Linked DNA regions of Saccharomyces cerevisiae S288C. Changing the gene in region 1 together with any one later gene gives a genetic interaction. Each region holds a gene or a part of one and is shown in the gene's direction. Other genes may lie near its edges. The genes, in order: PET9, RPL40A, GIS2 and SDD3.

Region 1 (4,703 bases):
TAATTGATTATTTAGATTTTCTAGCGTCAGTTCTTGCGTTAGGGGCATAGTATCCTTTTCAAACGAATTAGGATCGGCAAATATGTCACTGCTTTCGCTGGTATTAGAAATTATTGCTTCCCCATGTTTCAAAGAGGACGACGATGGTGGTGGCGGAGAAGGCGAATTCGATAGGGATAACGAAAACTTTGCAGGTGGCAGACTCGAAACTAATGACGAAGGCGTTGATATATCCTTTCTGTAAATGTCTTTACAATTTACGGCAAATTGCGGTTCGTTGAGAGTAGAAGGGTAATCGAGTAAAAAGGCCATCTGACTGATGTCATTACCGAGTAGATTATTATTATTATGATTATTATTATTATTTTTATTATTATTACTATTATTATTACTATTACTATTATTAATGCTATTGTTTTTAGCAGTTGTAGTAGCCAGCTTATCGTTATAAGACAGTAAAAAGTTGGAGTACGTTAAATTTTCGTCACCATAAGCATTAACGTTGATGTCATTGTTATTAATGGGGAGAAAGGGCGAATTAACATCACAATTTAAAGGTGCGAATGATTCCAAGTTGTAATTTATATTTTCATTTTCGTAAAAAGAGTCGAATTCGGGGATATTGGCGCACATTAGCTTTATTTTGGTTTTATAATCTCTATATATTACGACTAAGCTTTTGCCTAATACAAGATTAACACGCAAGTATAAAAGGAGATAACAGTGCAAATTCAAAAAAAAGAGTACAGATTAGAACTGGAAACCAACAGTCGCATATATATAATTTGCTTAATTCCTTTTAAACAATTGAACTTTTTCTCGAAAACACAACAAAGAGAGAAAAAAAAAAAAAAAAAAAAAAAAGAGAAAAACATGATAAAAATTGCATATATGTGGGTAGAAACCTTAAAAGTTATAATAAAGGGAATCCCACGCAGGAGCGGCATGGGAAGATAATATAATGAAACGAGCAAAAAATGGAGTCAACGTATGGCGTATTAAGATTGTGTTTATTTTTATGCAGGAAGGGGAATCGCACAGATAGTCAATAACCAACTGGCCGACTAACTGCATAAGAAATCGTTGTTTTTTTTTTCGAAGGCTCATTCAGATAAAGAAATCACTACGCGTTTTGTCTGTGAAGTCACAGATTTGAAAAATGAGAACGAAAAACATAACCACCTATGAGATTGAGTCCCTACATTTTACCATTTACGCTACTAAGTTACCCAATATCGTAACACGAAATAACAAGTTAAGGGGAGGAATGAAAAGGTTATCAAAGCGGCAGGAGACAGGAGGAATAACGCAGGACGAGACCCAAAGATAATATTTCTATAACGAAGTCGTTCGAACCCATCAGATTTCTGCTTTGATTACATACACAAGCTTTGTTTCTTTCTACAGGTGATTGTATGTGGGCTTATGGTATGCCTGCAGGACGCGTATGCATGTACGACGGCACGACCCGGAGCAAAACGGCGAGTGCTCTAACGCGGTGTATGGGCTAGATTCGTAATAGGGCTCTGGGTTTGCTGCAAGGGGTAATTATCAGCGATGGAATGACTCCGTTACCGCCCGACGCTATGTACGCCTTTTCCGCGTGCGCCGGTCTTTACCGGCAGGGGAGAATGTGGTGACGGCGGAGCCGGCGTATGGTGCCTCTACAAAAAATACGAAGTCTCATTTTAGTCACACTGATTTTCATAAGAAATGAGGAAAAAGAAAAGAGATGAAAATTGAGAAAAAAAAAAAAGCATTGTCGGGTAACAAATTATGTAGTGAAGATCAAAGGATATACACACAAACGAAGATGCGCATTAGCCACGTCCATCCCTTTCCCTTTTTCCCTTTCTACTCCGTTTTTACAATAATGTACGTTATAAAACAAGCGGCTGAAGAACAAGTTGGGAATAAATGTCAGCAAGGAAGATTGGTGTAAAGTGAAATCAGATAAGCAACTTAATACACAACCTCAAAAAGAAAAAATTACCATGTCATTCATACCTATTGTATGTGGTATGAAGAGTTTCGACTCTTCATACGATACCGTTCCCGGACATCAAAACCTGTATTGCCCGAATTGTCACAATTATAGTGTCGGCCCCATAAAAAGAAAGGAATTTTTCACTATTTGGTTTATACCGTTGGTTCCGGTCTTCTGGGGAAAACAGTTGCACTGCCCCATATGCAATTGGCGACAAGATTTTAAGAATGACGAACAGCTTAATAAAGTCATTCAAGAACAACAAAACTTACGACAAAAGCAGCCCAACTGATAACGAAATAATTTCCTTTTCTTCCTCTTATATATGTATTTATATATATGTGTTCACTATAACCATACATATATTATACAGAAGTATAGACACGATTTTTCCATACGTAACAAATAACATCACGATGCACGAGCACTGTTTCCAATGGAGAACAAGCGAAAGGCGGTAAATGCGCTATGCTGATTGGTGTAGAGCGCGGGCCAATGAGAAGGCCCCACTCTCAGAGGGTGAGGTGCGATTATCGGGGACATGTCTCCGTCGATCGGGCCCACGTCGTCGCACAATATAAATACCATTTGAGTTTTTAATATTAATTTTTCACGACAACCCACTCAAAAAAGTATATATTCACTGTTAGTTATACGGAACATTGCAATACATCTACAAGTCAAAGGAGCCCCTCTATATTATTTATATTTGTCGTTGTTCTTTTTTGTGTGCTCTTTTATACTTCAGAATCATACATTAACATACATATAAGCAAATAGCCATGTCTTCCAACGCCCAAGTCAAAACCCCATTACCTCCAGCCCCAGCTCCAAAGAAGGAATCTAACTTTTTGATTGATTTCTTAATGGGTGGTGTCAGTGCCGCTGTCGCCAAAACTGCTGCATCTCCCATCGAAAGAGTTAAACTTTTGATCCAAAACCAAGATGAAATGTTAAAACAAGGTACTTTGGACAGAAAATACGCAGGTATCTTAGACTGTTTCAAGAGAACCGCTACACAGGAAGGTGTTATCTCATTCTGGAGAGGTAACACTGCTAACGTTATCCGTTATTTCCCCACTCAAGCTTTGAATTTCGCCTTCAAGGACAAGATCAAGGCCATGTTTGGTTTCAAGAAGGAAGAAGGTTACGCCAAATGGTTTGCCGGTAACTTGGCATCTGGTGGTGCTGCTGGTGCCTTGTCATTACTATTTGTTTACTCTTTGGATTATGCAAGAACTAGATTGGCTGCTGACTCCAAGTCCTCTAAAAAGGGTGGTGCTCGTCAATTCAACGGTTTGATCGATGTCTACAAGAAGACCTTAAAATCTGATGGTGTTGCTGGTCTTTACAGAGGTTTCTTACCTTCTGTCGTTGGTATTGTTGTCTACAGAGGTCTATACTTCGGTATGTACGATTCTTTGAAGCCTCTATTGTTGACTGGTTCTTTGGAAGGTTCATTCTTGGCTTCATTCTTGTTGGGTTGGGTTGTTACTACTGGTGCTTCTACATGTTCTTACCCATTGGATACCGTTAGAAGAAGAATGATGATGACCTCCGGTCAAGCTGTTAAGTACGACGGTGCCTTTGACTGTTTGAGGAAGATTGTTGCTGCTGAAGGTGTTGGTTCTCTATTCAAGGGTTGTGGTGCTAACATCTTAAGAGGTGTCGCAGGTGCTGGTGTTATCTCAATGTACGACCAACTGCAAATGATCTTGTTTGGTAAGAAGTTCAAATAAGTCTAATCTGGCTTGATTCTTAATCTAAATTCTTTCTCACATTTTCCTTTTTTTCTTCTTTGGATTTTTGGTGTTTAATGAGTGACACGATTTGTTTTGATAATATTATTATCCTCCTATTTTTTTAGAAATTCTTTTCAACAAGAATCAAAGATTCATAAAAAAAGAAAACGATGAAATTTTTTGAACAACTTTTACGTATAAAGAAGAAAAAAAAAAAATTCTAAATATCCAGTAAATAGTTTTATATTAGTAGTATTCTTTCCCACTTTTTAAATGTCATCACATGATGTTTCTTATAAAATGCAATTTTTTTATTACTTAATCACCGCCAAATAGGTCTATCACTCTTTGTGCCGGTGGCAGTACTTTGCTTAAGGTTACTGGACAATGAACCACTTGTCTTACTTTTAACCAACCGAGTCTTTACATTTGTGTGTTCCTTGGATTTTGCAGAGGTTCCTGACGATAAGTTGTTCATAGACGTCGACCTAGAGAACGTTGTTTGCTTGTAAAGTCTATCAAAAACGGAAACTGAATTCTTCAATTGCGAATTTGTTCCTTGCGCAACTGGCGTGCGTTCTACCGGTTTGGTTTTGGCGTGTAAATCTCTTATTGATATCGATCTGTGTACTTTAGATCTTGGTATCGATGAAGCTGTCGAAGAGGAGGATGTATTACGGTGAGCGGAATTGATCTTGTTCAAAGAATTCGTAGTGGGCATTAGAAAGTTTGGTTTGTGCATAAATGGCTTGGGCTTTGACAATGGTGTGTTCTTTATTGAATTAATGTTAGAATTTGCTTGCATAGATCTCGCTCTAGCCACTATGTCATTACCATTAACCAATGAGTTCCGTAATTTCAATCTTCGTATTCTTCTTGTGATATCGTTTACCACTGGTGTAGTGTATGGAATTGAGCGGGACGGTCTCGACCTTTTCATCGAATCCGATCGATCCTGTGGGATTGCATGTTGT
Region 2 (4,155 bases), on another chromosome or scaffold:
TAGTTCATGTTCCAATGATTTTGTTCTTTCCTTAAAAGAGATCAGTTCAGGGGTTTTATGCTCTAATTCTAGTATAAAATCCTCCAGTTGATTCTGTAATTGAAATTTCTGATTCCTTTCCTTTATCAATTGTCTTTTCAGCACTTTGATATCAGAAAATAGTTTACCTACTGTGGGAGAAACTGCACTCGTAGTCATTGTAGCTTCTTCTTCCTTGGTACAATCCATAACTATATTCTGTAACCTTTGACACTCATTTTTTGATTTTTCGAGTCTTAATTTTGTGTCTATAAGTTCGTCTATCACATCAGTATGTTCAGGGTTCCTGCAGGAATTATCATCATTTTTCTCTATTGCTCTCAAGGAACAATCTTTTTCCAATGATGTTAGTTGTGAGCGTAGCAAATCGTTCATATTTTTTTGTAAAGTCATTTCTTTGGAGAATTCTGCTTTTTCCACACTTGCGGTATCTTTCAAATTTTTCATTTCCAGTACTTTCTCTTCCACCGACTGGGATAATTGTTTATTTTGATTTAGTAAAAACTTATTGTACGTAAAGACAGATTCATAGTTGGATTGCATTTGGTATAGTTTTTCTTCGAGGTTCTCTACGTGCGATGATTTTGTGACTTCTTCTGTTAGCGTTTTTTTGCTAAAAGATGATAATTTTTCTTCAATTAATTTTTTACTTTGTAACATTAATTCTTTTTCCTGTACTGAGGTATCGTACTTTAACTGTAATGATATAGCATTGGACTTGCACCTTTGTAGTATATTTTCCATTTCCATCAGCTTTCTTCGAAGAAGCTTATTTTCTTTGTTCAAATCATCATTTAAAGAATCATTCCCCTGATCTCTACTCTGCCAAATGTCATATTCTTCTTTAACTCGTTTTTCGTCATTTACTTCTCTCATAGCTTCATGGCTCACATGCAATTGTTTTTTTAGTGCATCTATTTCCCGCCTATATCTGGAACGTTCTTCATTCAGCTGATCTTTCAAGCCATTCAATTCTTCTTTAGCTGTGTTCTTCTGCTCAGAAGATTCATCTAGTAGCTGCTTAAGTTTTGAAATCCTTGAATAGTACTGCGATTTGATCTCATCGACCAAAACATTGAGTTTTGTCACTTCCTCTTCAGAACGTTCAAACTTGGCTATTTTCTTGTATAACTTTCTTAAGACAGGATAGGTAACACCTTGAAGTGATTCGAATGGAACATTTAAAAACTCAGATATTTTGTCCTCCATTGCCGGTTTGCTTCCGCCCAGTGTTCTTTCGCCTTAAATTTCTTTTGGTAAACTTCCACTAGAAAAAGAAAAGCCACCAGAGAAATAAGCGCTTGCAATTTAACGCCGATATTGTTTTCTTCTTCTATTATCTTCAATTATCGATCAACTCTATCCAACAATTCTATAATATCCACTGTTCATTAACGAATATTGGTCTTTTTCCCTTATGGTGAAGTAAATTTTCCATGCAATATCCGGGTAAGCTATCGACAAGTTTATTGACTGCAATTTGAGTTTATTACATCCGTACATTACTAAGATGTATGGTTTTTCTATTTTTGTGCTCCGTGTCGATATTTCGTGGAGCAAACCAGAAAAGATGCGGAACCTCTTAGCACTCCGCCTGGACATAGGCGGAGCATATTCCTCCTATGGGATGGGTTTTGTTGTACTCTTTTCTCTCTAGACAGGACCTCCGATTGCCTCCCTGAGGGTGAGATGGTTTCCGGCCTCAGGACGGCCTTCTCCAGTTTCTAGCGAGGCATACATTCCAACCAAAGGTGTATCAAGAATATCTGAAATTAAAGGTAGTTGAATCTCTATTTGTTGTTGTTATTACCGCTTATTATCCCATAGTTGAGACGACCAAGATTCAAACATGCAAATGTATGCACCATATCCATTCTAAACATAGTTTTTCGAACGTTCAGAGCTTAAAGGGACAATTATTTTAGAAACTGAATTTTTACCCAGTGGAATAACATCGTATCTGTAAAGTCTACAAAATTTTTTATCCATCAAAAATTAAAACAAAGAAAACTGCCAAACTGAATATGAGGAACTTTCCTCTCTAGGAATGACTTAGTGAATGTACAGTGACTTGTGGAAAATATGATTAGATTTTGAGCGGGTGATGCGACTTAACAGTCTCATTGCCTAAGAAATATCCAAATTTGTGGTTCATGCTCTCCCCCAAGATATGACGATGAGAGCTCGTTTAAAATTTTGTCTTCTTCCGAACAGTTATGAAAAAACTATTACGTGTTTTTATGATATCCTTACTAACTTGTCATTTTTTTATAAAATTATTTTTTTAACAGTTTTGTCAAGACTTTGACTGGTAAGACCATCACTTTGGAAGTTGAATCTTCTGACACTATTGACAATGTCAAGTCAAAGATTCAAGACAAGGAAGGTATCCCACCTGACCAACAAAGATTGATCTTTGCTGGTAAGCAATTGGAAGACGGTAGAACCTTGTCTGACTACAACATTCAAAAAGAATCCACTTTGCACTTAGTCTTGAGATTGAGAGGTGGTATCATTGAACCATCTTTGAAAGCTTTGGCTTCCAAGTACAACTGTGACAAATCTGTTTGCCGTAAGTGTTATGCTAGATTGCCACCAAGAGCTACCAACTGTAGAAAGAGAAAGTGTGGTCACACCAACCAATTGCGTCCAAAGAAGAAGTTAAAATGATCTGTTTCGCCCAATCAATCTATACATTTATTTACTGTATACTTTAATGTACATCTTCTTTTATCATACCTACTGTTAAAATCATAATATTAATTCATACAATATACTTAAGAAAACAATATACTTTTCTTAGTTTCATAACTTTGGAATCTATAATGTTGTTTTTTTTTTTTTAAGTATATTTGTATATTATGCATATAAGTCAACGCGTAGCGGTGGTATTACGCGCAAGCTTTTGATTTCTCTTACTATTCTTGGTTGTTCATTTGTTATTTTTCTTTCCCTGATATGCTGCACAAAACTCAGTAAGAATAGTTTTCAATTTTGGTCTTTTGATTGGTTTCGATAAAAATCCGTTCATTCCTGATTCCAAACATTCTTTAATGTTGCTATCGTCAGCAAAAGCGGTTAGAGCGACAATAGGTGAGGTATAACCTAAATCGCGCCTTATCATCTTGGTAGAAAGTAAACCATCCACTTTAGGCATCTGGACATCCATGAAAATCATATTATAATTTTCGCCCTTAGATGTCAATTCTTTAACTTTGTCGAATGCTTCTTGGCCATCGCAAGCCAGTTCAATATTTTCAATGCCCTCCAAGTTCAACATTCTTTTGATAACTTCCTGATTTACATGATTATCTTCTACAACCAAAATTTTGACACTTGTTTCATTTTTATCGTCGTCTTTGACTGTGGGGATGTTTCTACTTGATGTGGCTGTACCAGTACTTTGCAAAAATGGTCTATCAAGATTGACAGAACCTAGACCTTCATGTCGAGAACGATGCTTAGAAGACAAGGAATTTTGTTCGTTAACTTCAGCACCTGTAAGACATATAGAAGGTTTAATATTTTTTTCCTGCAGTTGTTCAAGCCCTCCATTGTCGTTTTTTTCTTCTCTTCCCATGTTAGGATTTCCAACATCTTTCGTCTCATGCTTACCTTTACTTCTTACCTCCGGTAGCACGTCGTTGGTTAGGCTACTTCTATTTGTAGCTGGTGTTGCAACAGATGATGTGGATTGTCGGCTCTTGATGCTTTTAGCAACACTAAACTTGACTCTTCTGTTCTTTCTACTCTCAGGATTAAATTCGTCCTCAAAAGGAAACTCCATATCTGCAAAACTGATCTCTTTAGTTTGATTTAATGGCAAGGTAAAAGTGAATTTACTACCAACACCTACTTTCGACTCTAATTTCATCGTTCCATGCATCATATTTGCTAACTGTCTACAGATTGATAGACCTAAGCCAGTACCACCATATTGCCTGGACAATGTTTGATCACCTTGAACAAATGGATGAAATACAGATTCTTGTAAGGAAGGGTCAATACCAGGCCCAGTGTCTTCCACTTCAATAGAAATAACCCACGTTTTGGGGTTTTCGATAGGTCTTCCTAGGTTACCACCTTCTTCATCATCTGAGCCAGGTGCTTTATTGA
Region 3 (3,898 bases), on another chromosome or scaffold:
GTAGATATTTTGAAGTCACTGAGGCAGCCACTTCAGAAGTTATGGTCTTTTGATTAAGAATATCAACAGCTCCAATTGTCGACATGCCGAATAGTTCACTTGATCCTTTTTATGTATGTAGCTGTACACCAATCAAACCTCAATGAGTGAAGCTTTGTACGTAGAAATACTGAAGAGATATATATTTAACATAATATCTTATGTACGTAACCTGTGGTGCAAGGCTTTTAATTTTCTTAATTCTACTATGAATAATGATAAGTTAGGCAAGACACCTATACATGGTTAGTGGCGTCGTTGGGGTGTAAAAATGAATTGTCCATGCTCGGTTACTGTTTTATACAACGGTACAATAATTTAACGTTTTGTTTCTTCCGTCATCATATCCAGTGGGAAAGGTGTATTTCTAGAAAATAATGTTAACCTTCAAGGTTATGCTTTGCGATATTTGACACTTTCCAAAGAAACATGGGCACTGTTAATATACCTTCAAGTCTACATACATATATATAAACTGCATTTGGCTATCTATCGAACGTAAGCAGGAAAAAAATGGCAATTCGATTGAAAATCCAAAACCCTTTATGATACTGAAGACAACTCCAGTAATTGAATAGGTATGGAATAGTAATTCTCTGAAAACTCCCTTGAAAATTGGGAGGCAATGATACTCCTATTTGTGCTGCATCTCAATTGTTGTGGTAAATAGCGTCCTAAACTTTTTTTTTTTCCTATATATAGATGGCGTCGCTAAAATGGGAAGCTTTGAAAAATGTAGCGATGAGATCACATTAAAAGGGTACTGTATGTGCTCTCGAGACCTTAGCACAAATTTTTGACCTGCGTAGACAGAGATGGTTGGGCCTGGTCTGGGAATTAATCGAGTGAGGAGAAAAGGTGTTTATTCCACAAAAAAGGGAAGTGGTGATAACTTACTGTTAATGAAAAGACAAGGAAAACATGACATACATGATAGAGAAAGTGACGACTTATCAGGCCATGATGCCTTTTCCCCCTCAAAAAAGCGCGGCAAAATAGACAGTATCACAGAAGATGAGATTGAAGTAAAAAAGCTTTCCACTGTGGCCACATTTGATAAACTTTCGAGGTCATTTCCAAATTCAGAAGTACAAGCCGCAAAGAATGCAGCACTCAGAGGAAAAGAAAAAGAAGAAGAGAAGGTCGTTTCTATCCCACTAATACAGAATTTGAAAAATGAAGATATCGAGTCTATCAAATGCAGGAACAATAATCTTTTAGACGGTAAAAAATTACTCTTGGAGGCAGAACTATCGGCAGTTGAAGATAACCAAATCTTCTCCTCTTCATTTCCCGAGGATAAAAAGCTATCGTTACAAAGTTGTTTGAGTTCTAAAGAGCAGATAATCAAAAAACTTCAAGTAAGGGAAGAATACATGAGCAAGTTCAAACTACCACCCATGTTGTTTTCGGATGAGCTACTCACTGAAGTAGAACCCTTCATGCCCATTGTAATGGACATATTGGAGGGAAAGATATCGTCTGTATACTATTTTGAAGCAAAAAATGCATTCAAAAACTCACAAAAGGCTTACTTGTCCGTAGATGAGTTTAGAAAGTTGAATTTAAACAAATTTACTGCTGGATTTTACGGCCTGAAAAGGCAATTGAGGGTTGGCGAAGAAATCGCTAAGAGATATAAAAGGGCACTCACGCACAATCAGCCCGCAACCTTAAAATGGTGGGGGATAACAGATTTCTGTAACTACGTTTTGGCTCCAGAAACCCTTACGTCTTTTTGTATTTACCAATTAAATCTCTCGAATAAATCTTGCTCGTCGAAGACACCGAATAAACATCCAAAGCAACAATTAAACGAGAAGGAATATTACTACGATCCCGAATTAAGGATGCTAGCCTATGACTTACTCGAGGATACAGTTGAATACGGTATCATAGTAGCCGACTCTGATCCAATTGAGCAATGGGAAGCTGCCATAGAGGAAGACCGTCTGCGGGAACTGAAACTCGATGTTCATAACTATTCCAGCAGGAGATGGCGACTGGATACGCACGATTAAACAGGTAGTATATTGCCGTTTGTTGCCTTTATGGCTTAGGGATTTGAGCTTTATAGTAAGAACTGCTGTGGTGTCATGATAGACGAAATGCTGAAAAAATTTTCTTTTCGTTCCTTTTCTCTTTTGGCAAGAGTTGTAATAAGGTCATCGATGGATTAGAAATGCTCTTTCTGCTTTGGGGGCACTTGAGGATTGTATTATTTTAAGGCTTTCCCTTCAGAAATCAGGAAAAAAGAAAAGAATACGAAAAAGATGTCTCAAAAAGCTTGTTACGTTTGCGGTAAGATTGGCCATTTGGCAGAAGACTGTGATTCTGAAAGACTATGTTACAACTGTAACAAACCCGGTCACGTTCAAACGGATTGTACCATGCCAAGAACAGTTGAATTCAAGCAATGTTACAATTGTGGTGAAACCGGTCACGTTAGAAGTGAATGTACTGTGCAACGTTGTTTCAACTGTAACCAAACCGGCCACATCTCCAGAGAATGCCCTGAACCAAAGAAGACCAGCAGATTCTCCAAAGTTTCATGTTATAAATGTGGTGGTCCAAACCATATGGCTAAGGACTGTATGAAAGAGGACGGAATTAGTGGATTGAAATGTTACACTTGTGGTCAAGCTGGCCACATGTCCAGGGACTGTCAAAATGACAGGCTTTGTTACAACTGTAACGAAACTGGCCATATTTCCAAGGATTGTCCAAAGGCTTAGGTGAAACATCCACTGAAAAAAACAAAGGAACAATCACTTATCATGCTATATTTCATAGAGGGGAAAAAAGAAGCACAAGTAAACTGAATATTTAAGTTTATTTTCTATATCTTTTCTATACTTCATTTCACTTGTTTCCTCCCTTGGTTATTTTTAACGATTCTTTATTATGAAACAGGAAAAAAAATTATTACAAAACAGAATTACATATTTAATCTATATAACTAACCTTTATTCCAAACCTTTATAAATAGCATCTGCTAATTTAATGCTCTTCGAACAATTTTTAACGTCATGGACCCTAACCATGTCGCTGCCGAAACCAATACACGACGCTACCACCGCTCCAGTAGCAAAGTCTCTTTGCTTCGCATCCACATCTTTTGTGATATGTCCAATGAATTTTTTGCGCGATGGACCCAATAAAACGGGCATATTTCTGAGGTTAACATACACTTGCGAATTGTTTGAGTTCATGGTGAATGAGTAGTTCTTTAAAATGGGGATATGTCTAATAATTTGTAAGTTTTGCTTCCAGGTCTTAGCAAAACCAAGTCCAGGGTCGATTAGAATTTGCCAGCGCTTTACTCCATTATCAATCGCTTTGATATACCTTTCGCCAATTTCTTGACCAACATTCCTGATTAACACTGTTTTGTCTTTCAAGTCGTCTAGCTGCTGAATGTCGGTATTATGAACAAATTCTTGCTGAATAGAATCACCCAATGCAAAATTTTCGTAATGCGCCAGCCTATTCATCGTTGAAATATCACCACGTGTGTGTGATAAAATATAACAAATTTCTGGGTTCTCTGCAATTACGGCAAACATGTTGCTGTCAAATAAACCTCCCGAAATATCATTAATAATATCCACTCCAACTTTAATCGCTTCTTTAGCGACATTGGAACGATAAGTATCAATGGATAGTATGACTTTATCTTGCGGTAACTCAGTGCTTTCTCTAATGGCCTTAATTAATGGGATAGACCTGCGTATTTCTTCTTCCTCAGACGCCTGAATAGAGTTAGGCCTGGTAGAACACCCTCCAACGTCGATGATGACGCTCTCATGCAAATATAATGCGTCTTTACACAATTTAATGATATCATTCAATTGACTTT
Region 4 (6,782 bases), on another chromosome or scaffold:
TTCCGCTTATAATGGAAAAGAGAGAAAAAAGATCAAAACGTTGAAAAATTTTTTTTAGTCATTGAGGTATCAGAAATAAAACTCAATAACAAAAAATAGTCGTAGAACAACGATGAGCAACGACGAAACTGTAGAGAAAGTCACCCAACAAGTGTCGGAACTAAAAAGCACAGATGTTAAAGAGCAAGTAGTTACACCTTGGGATGTGGAAGGTGGGGTTGATGAACAAGGTAGAGCCCAAAATATTGATTACGACAAATTGATCAAACAATTCGGTACTAAGCCGGTCAACGAAGAAACCCTGAAGAGATTCAAGCAAGTGACGGGTCGTGAACCACATCATTTTTTGCGTAAGGGATTGTTTTTCAGTGAGCGTGACTTCACTAAAATATTAGACCTTTACGAACAAGGCAAACCATTTTTCCTATACACTGGTAGAGGTCCTTCGAGCGATTCTATGCACTTGGGTCATATGATCCCTTTTGTCTTCACCAAATGGTTACAGGAAGTGTTTGACGTACCATTAGTCATAGAGTTGACAGATGACGAAAAATTTTTATTCAAACACAAGTTGACCATCAATGACGTTAAGAATTTTGCCCGTGAAAATGCCAAGGATATCATTGCTGTTGGCTTTGATCCAAAGAACACCTTTATCTTTTCTGATTTGCAATACATGGGTGGTGCATTTTACGAAACTGTAGTAAGAGTTTCCAGACAAATTACAGGATCCACTGCAAAGGCTGTTTTCGGGTTTAATGACTCCGACTGTATTGGTAAGTTCCATTTTGCCTCCATTCAAATTGCTACCGCATTCCCAAGCTCATTTCCTAATGTGTTAGGCTTGCCTGATAAGACACCATGTTTGATTCCATGTGCAATTGACCAAGATCCATATTTCAGAGTTTGTAGGGATGTCGCGGATAAATTGAAGTACTCCAAACCTGCTTTGCTTCATTCCAGATTCTTTCCAGCTTTGCAAGGTTCCACGACCAAAATGTCAGCCTCTGATGATACCACTGCCATTTTCATGACCGATACACCAAAGCAAATTCAAAAGAAAATTAACAAGTACGCATTCAGCGGTGGTCAAGTGTCCGCCGACCTACATAGAGAATTAGGTGGTAATCCCGATGTCGATGTTGCATACCAATACTTGTCATTTTTCAAGGATGACGATGTTTTCTTGAAGGAATGCTATGACAAATATAAGTCCGGTGAATTACTATCAGGTGAAATGAAGAAACTGTGTATCGAGACTCTGCAAGAATTCGTTAAGGCGTTCCAGGAACGCAGAGCTCAGGTGGACGAAGAGACCTTGGACAAATTCATGGTCCCACATAAGTTGGTTTGGGGCGAAAAGGAAAGACTTGTCGCACCTAAGCCAAAAACTAAGCAAGAAAAGAAGTAAGTAGTCACGCTTATTCTGACGCTATTATATACAATGATATAGAATCCGAAATTGTAGTTTAACACTAAAAAAATAATGCAATAGAACAATAGTGTTGCGATGTCTCCTGACCTCACTATTTCTATAGATTGGTATGAAAAATTTTTTTTTCAAATATATGGGAAAAATTTTTCACGGCATATAAAAGACTACCATCTTTCTGCATCAGTGTGCCAGACCCATTCTCACACCAAGAAGCGAGGAAGCTAACAGGCCAGTACTTGCAGGTTAGGTTTTCGTGCTCAGATGAGCAGATCATGGACTGCATTGTGCTGTTGTTGCACAGTAAATTTTGTATACCATACTTTATGATGATATTCTTTACGAACTTTTAGACGTTAGACTTCTGAAGGAGATTAGACCCTCCTATGGAAGAGAAACTCGTTAAACTTATCTGAGTAGGTATGTGTATATGCGTCTCTTGTATTATACAAATGTTCTTATTTCTTGTCCTGCATTTTTCCGAGTATTGGTAAATTCATGTAAATTTTTCATCCCATAGATCGTAATTTTGAAGTAGTGGCAAAAGATTTTAACAGAGCGTAAGATATAGTGAGAGAAACTACTCGCTGAAAAGTTGAAAGTGACCCAAAAAACGGCACGAAGACCAATTATACGCACTTTCAACACAGTTCGTCGAATCTTCACAATGGGGTTCAAGAAGCTCGTATCATTCCAACCGGATTATGTCCCACAATACCATATAACTAAATATATCTCGGAACGAACTAAACTGCAACTGGTACATATAAACCACAAAACCTCCCCATTGGTTCACGGTTACTTTGCTGTTCCTACAGAATGTCTTAATGATTCAGGTGCTCCGCATACCTTGGAGCATTTGATCTTCATGGGTTCTAAATCTTACCCATACAAAGGTTTATTAGACACAGCTGGTAATCTGTCTTTGTCTAACACCAATGCTTGGACTGATACCGACCAAACTGTTTATACATTAAGCAGTGCTGGCTGGAAGGGATTCTCAAAGTTGCTACCTGCTTATCTAGATCACATCCTACATCCAACTTTAACAGACGAGGCTTGTTTAACTGAGGTTTATCACATCGACCCGGAAAATTTGGGTGATAAAGGTGTGGTATTTAGTGAAATGGAAGCCATTGAAACTCAGGGCTGGTACATTTCAGGGTTAGAAAAGCAGCGATTAATGTTTCCTGAAGGAAGTGGCTATCGGTCAGAAACTGGTGGGCTAACGAAAAATTTAAGAACCTTAACCAACGACGAAATCAGACAATTTCACAAATCTCTGTATTCTTCTGATAATCTTTGTGTCATTGTTTGTGGTAACGTACCAACAGATGAACTGTTAACCGTCATGGAAGAATGGGATAACAAATTGCCGGAGATTCCATCGAATATACCAAAGAAAAGACCATTTTTGGACAACAAGCTTTCGCACATACCGCAATCTAGAGATAAAGTTACGGAATCTACTGTAGAATTTCCTGAACTTGATGAAAGTCAGGGTGAATTACTCTTTTCTTGGATTGGTGTTCCCTACTCAGATTTTCGTAATGACCTAGCGGTTGATGTGCTATTAGATTACTTTACTGACTCTGCATTGGCAGTGTTTACAAGAGAACTGGTTGAAATTGACGATCCCATGGCAAATTCCACTGATTGTTGCACTGATTATTTCATGAGAACCATAATTGATCTTCGTATCCAAGGTGTCCCAACAGAAAAAATAGCAGCAACAAAGACCAAGGTACTGGAGATTTTGAAAACCCATACCATTGATTTATCAAGAGTTAGACAGGTAGTTGAAAATACTAAATGGGAATATTTGCTGAACTATGAAAAAAATGGCGAGAGTCGTTTTTCTAGTGCTGTGATTACCGACTATATTTATGGTAATGAAGATGGTTCTTCATTAGTGTCTTCTCTCAAGGATTTAAGTGATTTTGATGCTTTATTACAATGGTCCCAAAAGGACTGGCAATCTTTGCTGAACAGAATATTCGTAGACAACAAACCTATCATAGTTACCGCTAAACCAAGCGCTTTGATGTATGAACAACTAGAGAAAGAAAAATCGGATTTGATCAAACAAAGAGAAGCTGAATTTGATGATGAAAAGAAACTGGTTTTATTGAAAAGATTGAACAATGCAAAAAATATTAATGATAGGCCAATTCCGAAATCTCTACTACAGAAATTTGAGATTGATAATCCTTCAAAGAGTGTTGAATTTGTCAACACGAAAAGCATTGCAACTGTCGATTCGTATAAATACAATAATGTTAGTGATCCGCTGACCAAAAAAATTTTAGAAACGAGGCCAGACAATTTTCCTCTTTTCATTCACTTAAATCATTTCCCGTCTCAATTTATAGAGCTGCATTTTTTGGTCAACTCCGCATCTATTAAGGATACCTCGCTTTTACCATATTTTAATATGTTTGACGAGCTATTTTCCATGCCAATGAAAATCCTTGATGAGGAGAGTAATGTAGAAACTATGCTCTCGTTTGAGGAAGTTGTCGCCAAGTTAAAATCAGAAACTATTGACGCACAGATCAACCAAGGTTTGAAGGGTTCTTGTCCTGACCTTATTAATTTTAAAATTCAATGTAGAGCTGGGGGTTACTCTAACTCTGTTCAATGGATCAAGCACTGCCTATTTGACATGGTTTTTGATGAAAATCGTGTTCGTATTCTGCTGGAGAATTATTTGAATTCTATTGTAGAATGGAAAAGAAATGGTAATGTTATGTTAAGTTCTTTAACTAACAGAAATCTCTATTCGGCAAGATCGCTGAAAAAATCCACCGATCCATTATTTGTTGAAGCAAAATTACAAGAGATTTTTGCAGAAATTGAGAATGGCAACTTTGAGAAAGAAATTTTGCCAAGAATAGAAACAATGAGAAAGCAACTGAGAGCAAATTTCAACAAGTTTCATATTTTGGTTCTTGGTGACATCTCAAAGATCGATGACGTTTATGAACCATGGAATCCCTTAATTAAGTGCTTGAACATTGCACATCCAGTTGAGAAGTTAAAAATTCCACCAGTTCCAAGAGCCCTAGATACCATTTCATCGATTTGCAGAACACCTGGTGAAAAGGCCTTTATAATAACTACTCCCGCCTCAGAATCTGCTTATATGAATCTAATAACGTCTATCCCATTTAACTTGGACTACCATGATCCCGAATACGCTATTGTCTCATTGGCTTCCGAATATCTAGAATGTGTTGAAGGTCCATTTTGGAAGGGAATCCGTGGTGCCGGATTGGCCTATGGTGCCAGCATGTTAAAATTATGTGAGATAAATTCTTGGGGATTCAATATTTACCGCGGCGCTGATATTATTAAATGTTATGAAGTTGGAAAACAGATTGTTCAAGATTATGCATCAGGTGCCTTGGAATTTGATGAGCAGTTAATCCAAGGTGCCATCAGTAGTATTATTAACAGGCTGGCTACTATCGAATGCGGATACTTTGAAACAGCCCTGTCCAAATATGTTGATGAATTCTGTTTGCAAAGGGGGAACAACTTCAATGAATTGTATTTGGAAAGGTTGCAGAATGTTACCAAAACAGATCTGAAAAATGCCATGCAGAAATATTTTGTCAACATGTTTGATTCCAATAAAAGCGTTGCCTTTGTGAGCTGTCATCCAGCTAAATTGGAATCAGTTCAAGAATTCTTTGAAACTCAAGGTTTCACTGTCGAAATAGAAGAGCTAGAAGATGACGATGACGAAATTGATAGTGAAGAAGACGAAAATGCGTGAGTACATGACCTCCATTTCAGCTTCACTTTCAACACAGAAACAGTGCGTATTATCTGCATTCAATAAATAGCAAAAGGAGCATTGTCTCATTCTTTTCGAATTCTGGGATTCTGCCTTACGGCGCTCTTTCATTTGATTGATCGAGAATTATTATTATATTTATATGAGTACTTGAAATTCCTCATATATTTATTTTTAGAGTATTTAAGTAGCTTGATGAAAACATTAGATAAAATTACTAATTACGACCTCTTCGATTTTGCAGATGAGTTTTTGAAATTTGTTCCTGTGTTTAGACCTAATCCCACGGTAACTTGTCTTTTTGGCAATCCGTTAACTAATTTACTGGTTAACGGTACTGGAGCAGCGTGTTTTTTTGAATTTTGTTCCTTGGCATTGATAAAGGTTTCAAAAATTCTGCTTGATCTGTTGCTCTTAGCGCTATTAATCGATTCAGAAAACGAATTGTGCTTTGAAATTGATGGAGATTGGCTATGCGTCCTGGGTTTTGGCGAAGGAGACTTGGAAGTTGGAAGATCTTTAGGTATGGCTCTTCCGGATGATGATGTTCTTCTTTCAATTACCTTTTGGTTTCTTTGCAACAGTTCTTTCTCTATTTTATTTGTATTCGAATTAAGAATTTTTTTGAGAACAGTAAACAATTTGCTCGTGGTTTTTTTATCAGTGCTCAAAAGAAATGACTTGTAAGGTGTCTGAATCACAACTATATGATTAGTTCCCATTTCCAAGGGAATGATTAGTTCTTTTATTTTGGTACCCTGTTGACGCAAATTTATGTCATATTCTAGTTCATACTTTAAATTTGTAACTGGATTTGGCTGCCTCCTCTTGGCAAATACTAGAAACCTTCCAAATGATGTCATTACAATGGTTCGTTTATAGTACTTGGTTTTTTCATCAGAGGAAGAGAGCGTTTCAGCTGCTGAGGTAGGGTGAAATAATTTTTTAATCTTGCCAGAAAAAACAGAGCTTCCTTTATTGTTAGATTCGGATTTATCATCGTCTTTCATTGGTGAGCTGTTTTGATTGCATTTGTACCCTTCTCCGCTTCTGTTAGTAAGCAACTCCGATAAGTCACCTCCTTCAATTCGATAATCATCTTCCAAGAGCTGCAAATCGATAATATTTTTCGAATAGTACGTATCTTCTGTTTTGGAATAAGCAGTCATAGTTGGATCATTTCGAAAACCTGTAACCTCTCCCCCACTCCTAGCTACTTGGGATAAAAAAGTATGTCTAGGCTTACCAAACAGTTGAGGATCTAACAATGAACCATTTAGTTTAAGCATTTTCTTCTCTAAGATATCGTAATTTGTGGTAACAAAATCCAGTTTTTCCGTCCTTAGTACATGTTCGTTGATGTTTTTCAGGTAAAAGGACCATTGAATATCTTGCTTGTTCATCAAGGGAGAATCTGTGCTATTTTTAACATTTTGCTTACTAATACAAGGCTTAGGTGCGGCAATTGCGGTATCAGAATAATCCTGCTGTTTTGTCGTATAGGGAGGTGTCATTTGATATGTATCATATGGTGTCATAGGGGGCGAC

What was found.
Region 2: of PET9 (region 1) and RPL40A, extra expression of one rescues a mutant of the other (dosage rescue), as found in Saccharomyces cerevisiae (one study listed by BioGRID).
Region 3: of PET9 (region 1) and GIS2, extra expression of one rescues a mutant of the other (dosage rescue), as found in Saccharomyces cerevisiae (one study listed by BioGRID).
Region 4: of PET9 (region 1) and SDD3, extra expression of one rescues a mutant of the other (dosage rescue), as found in Saccharomyces cerevisiae (one study listed by BioGRID).

What each region holds. Positions count from the first base shown.
Region 1 is NC_001134.8:162,064-166,766, reverse strand, and holds PET9 (ADP/ATP carrier protein PET9), read left to right. Parts: upstream 1-2,769; coding exon 2,770-3,726; downstream 3,727-4,703. Other genes in the region: YBL029W (uncharacterized protein), read right to left, coding at 1-633; YBL029C-A (uncharacterized protein), read left to right, coding at 1,995-2,279; SHE1 (She1p), read right to left, coding at 4,052-4,703.
Region 2 is NC_001141.2:66,820-70,974, forward strand, and holds RPL40A (ubiquitin-60S ribosomal protein eL40 RPL40A fusion protein), read left to right. Parts: upstream 1-1,888; coding exon 1,889-1,896; intron 1,897-2,330; coding exon 2,331-2,709; downstream 2,710-4,155. Other genes in the region: MLP2 (Mlp2p), read right to left, coding at 1-1,248; SLN1 (histidine kinase), read right to left, coding at 2,972-4,155.
Region 3 is NC_001146.8:166,205-170,102, reverse strand, and holds GIS2 (mRNA-binding translational activator GIS2), read left to right. Parts: upstream 1-2,312; coding exon 2,313-2,774; downstream 2,775-3,898. Other genes in the region: TEX1 (Tex1p), read right to left, coding at 1-85; RTC4 (Rtc4p), read left to right, coding at 855-2,060; trifunctional dihydropteroate synthetase/dihydrohydroxymethylpterin pyrophosphokinase/dihydroneopterin aldolase FOL1, read right to left, coding at 3,006-3,898. UniProt on the Saccharomyces cerevisiae protein: May act in the sexual differentiation pathway.
Region 4 is NC_001147.6:131,156-137,937, reverse strand, and holds SDD3 (Sdd3p), read left to right. Parts: upstream 1-2,099; coding exon 2,100-5,213; downstream 5,214-6,782. Other genes in the region: tryptophan--tRNA ligase WRS1, read left to right, coding at 113-1,411; YOL097W-A (uncharacterized protein), read right to left, coding at 1,533-1,718; serine/threonine protein kinase PKH2, read right to left, coding at 5,456-6,782.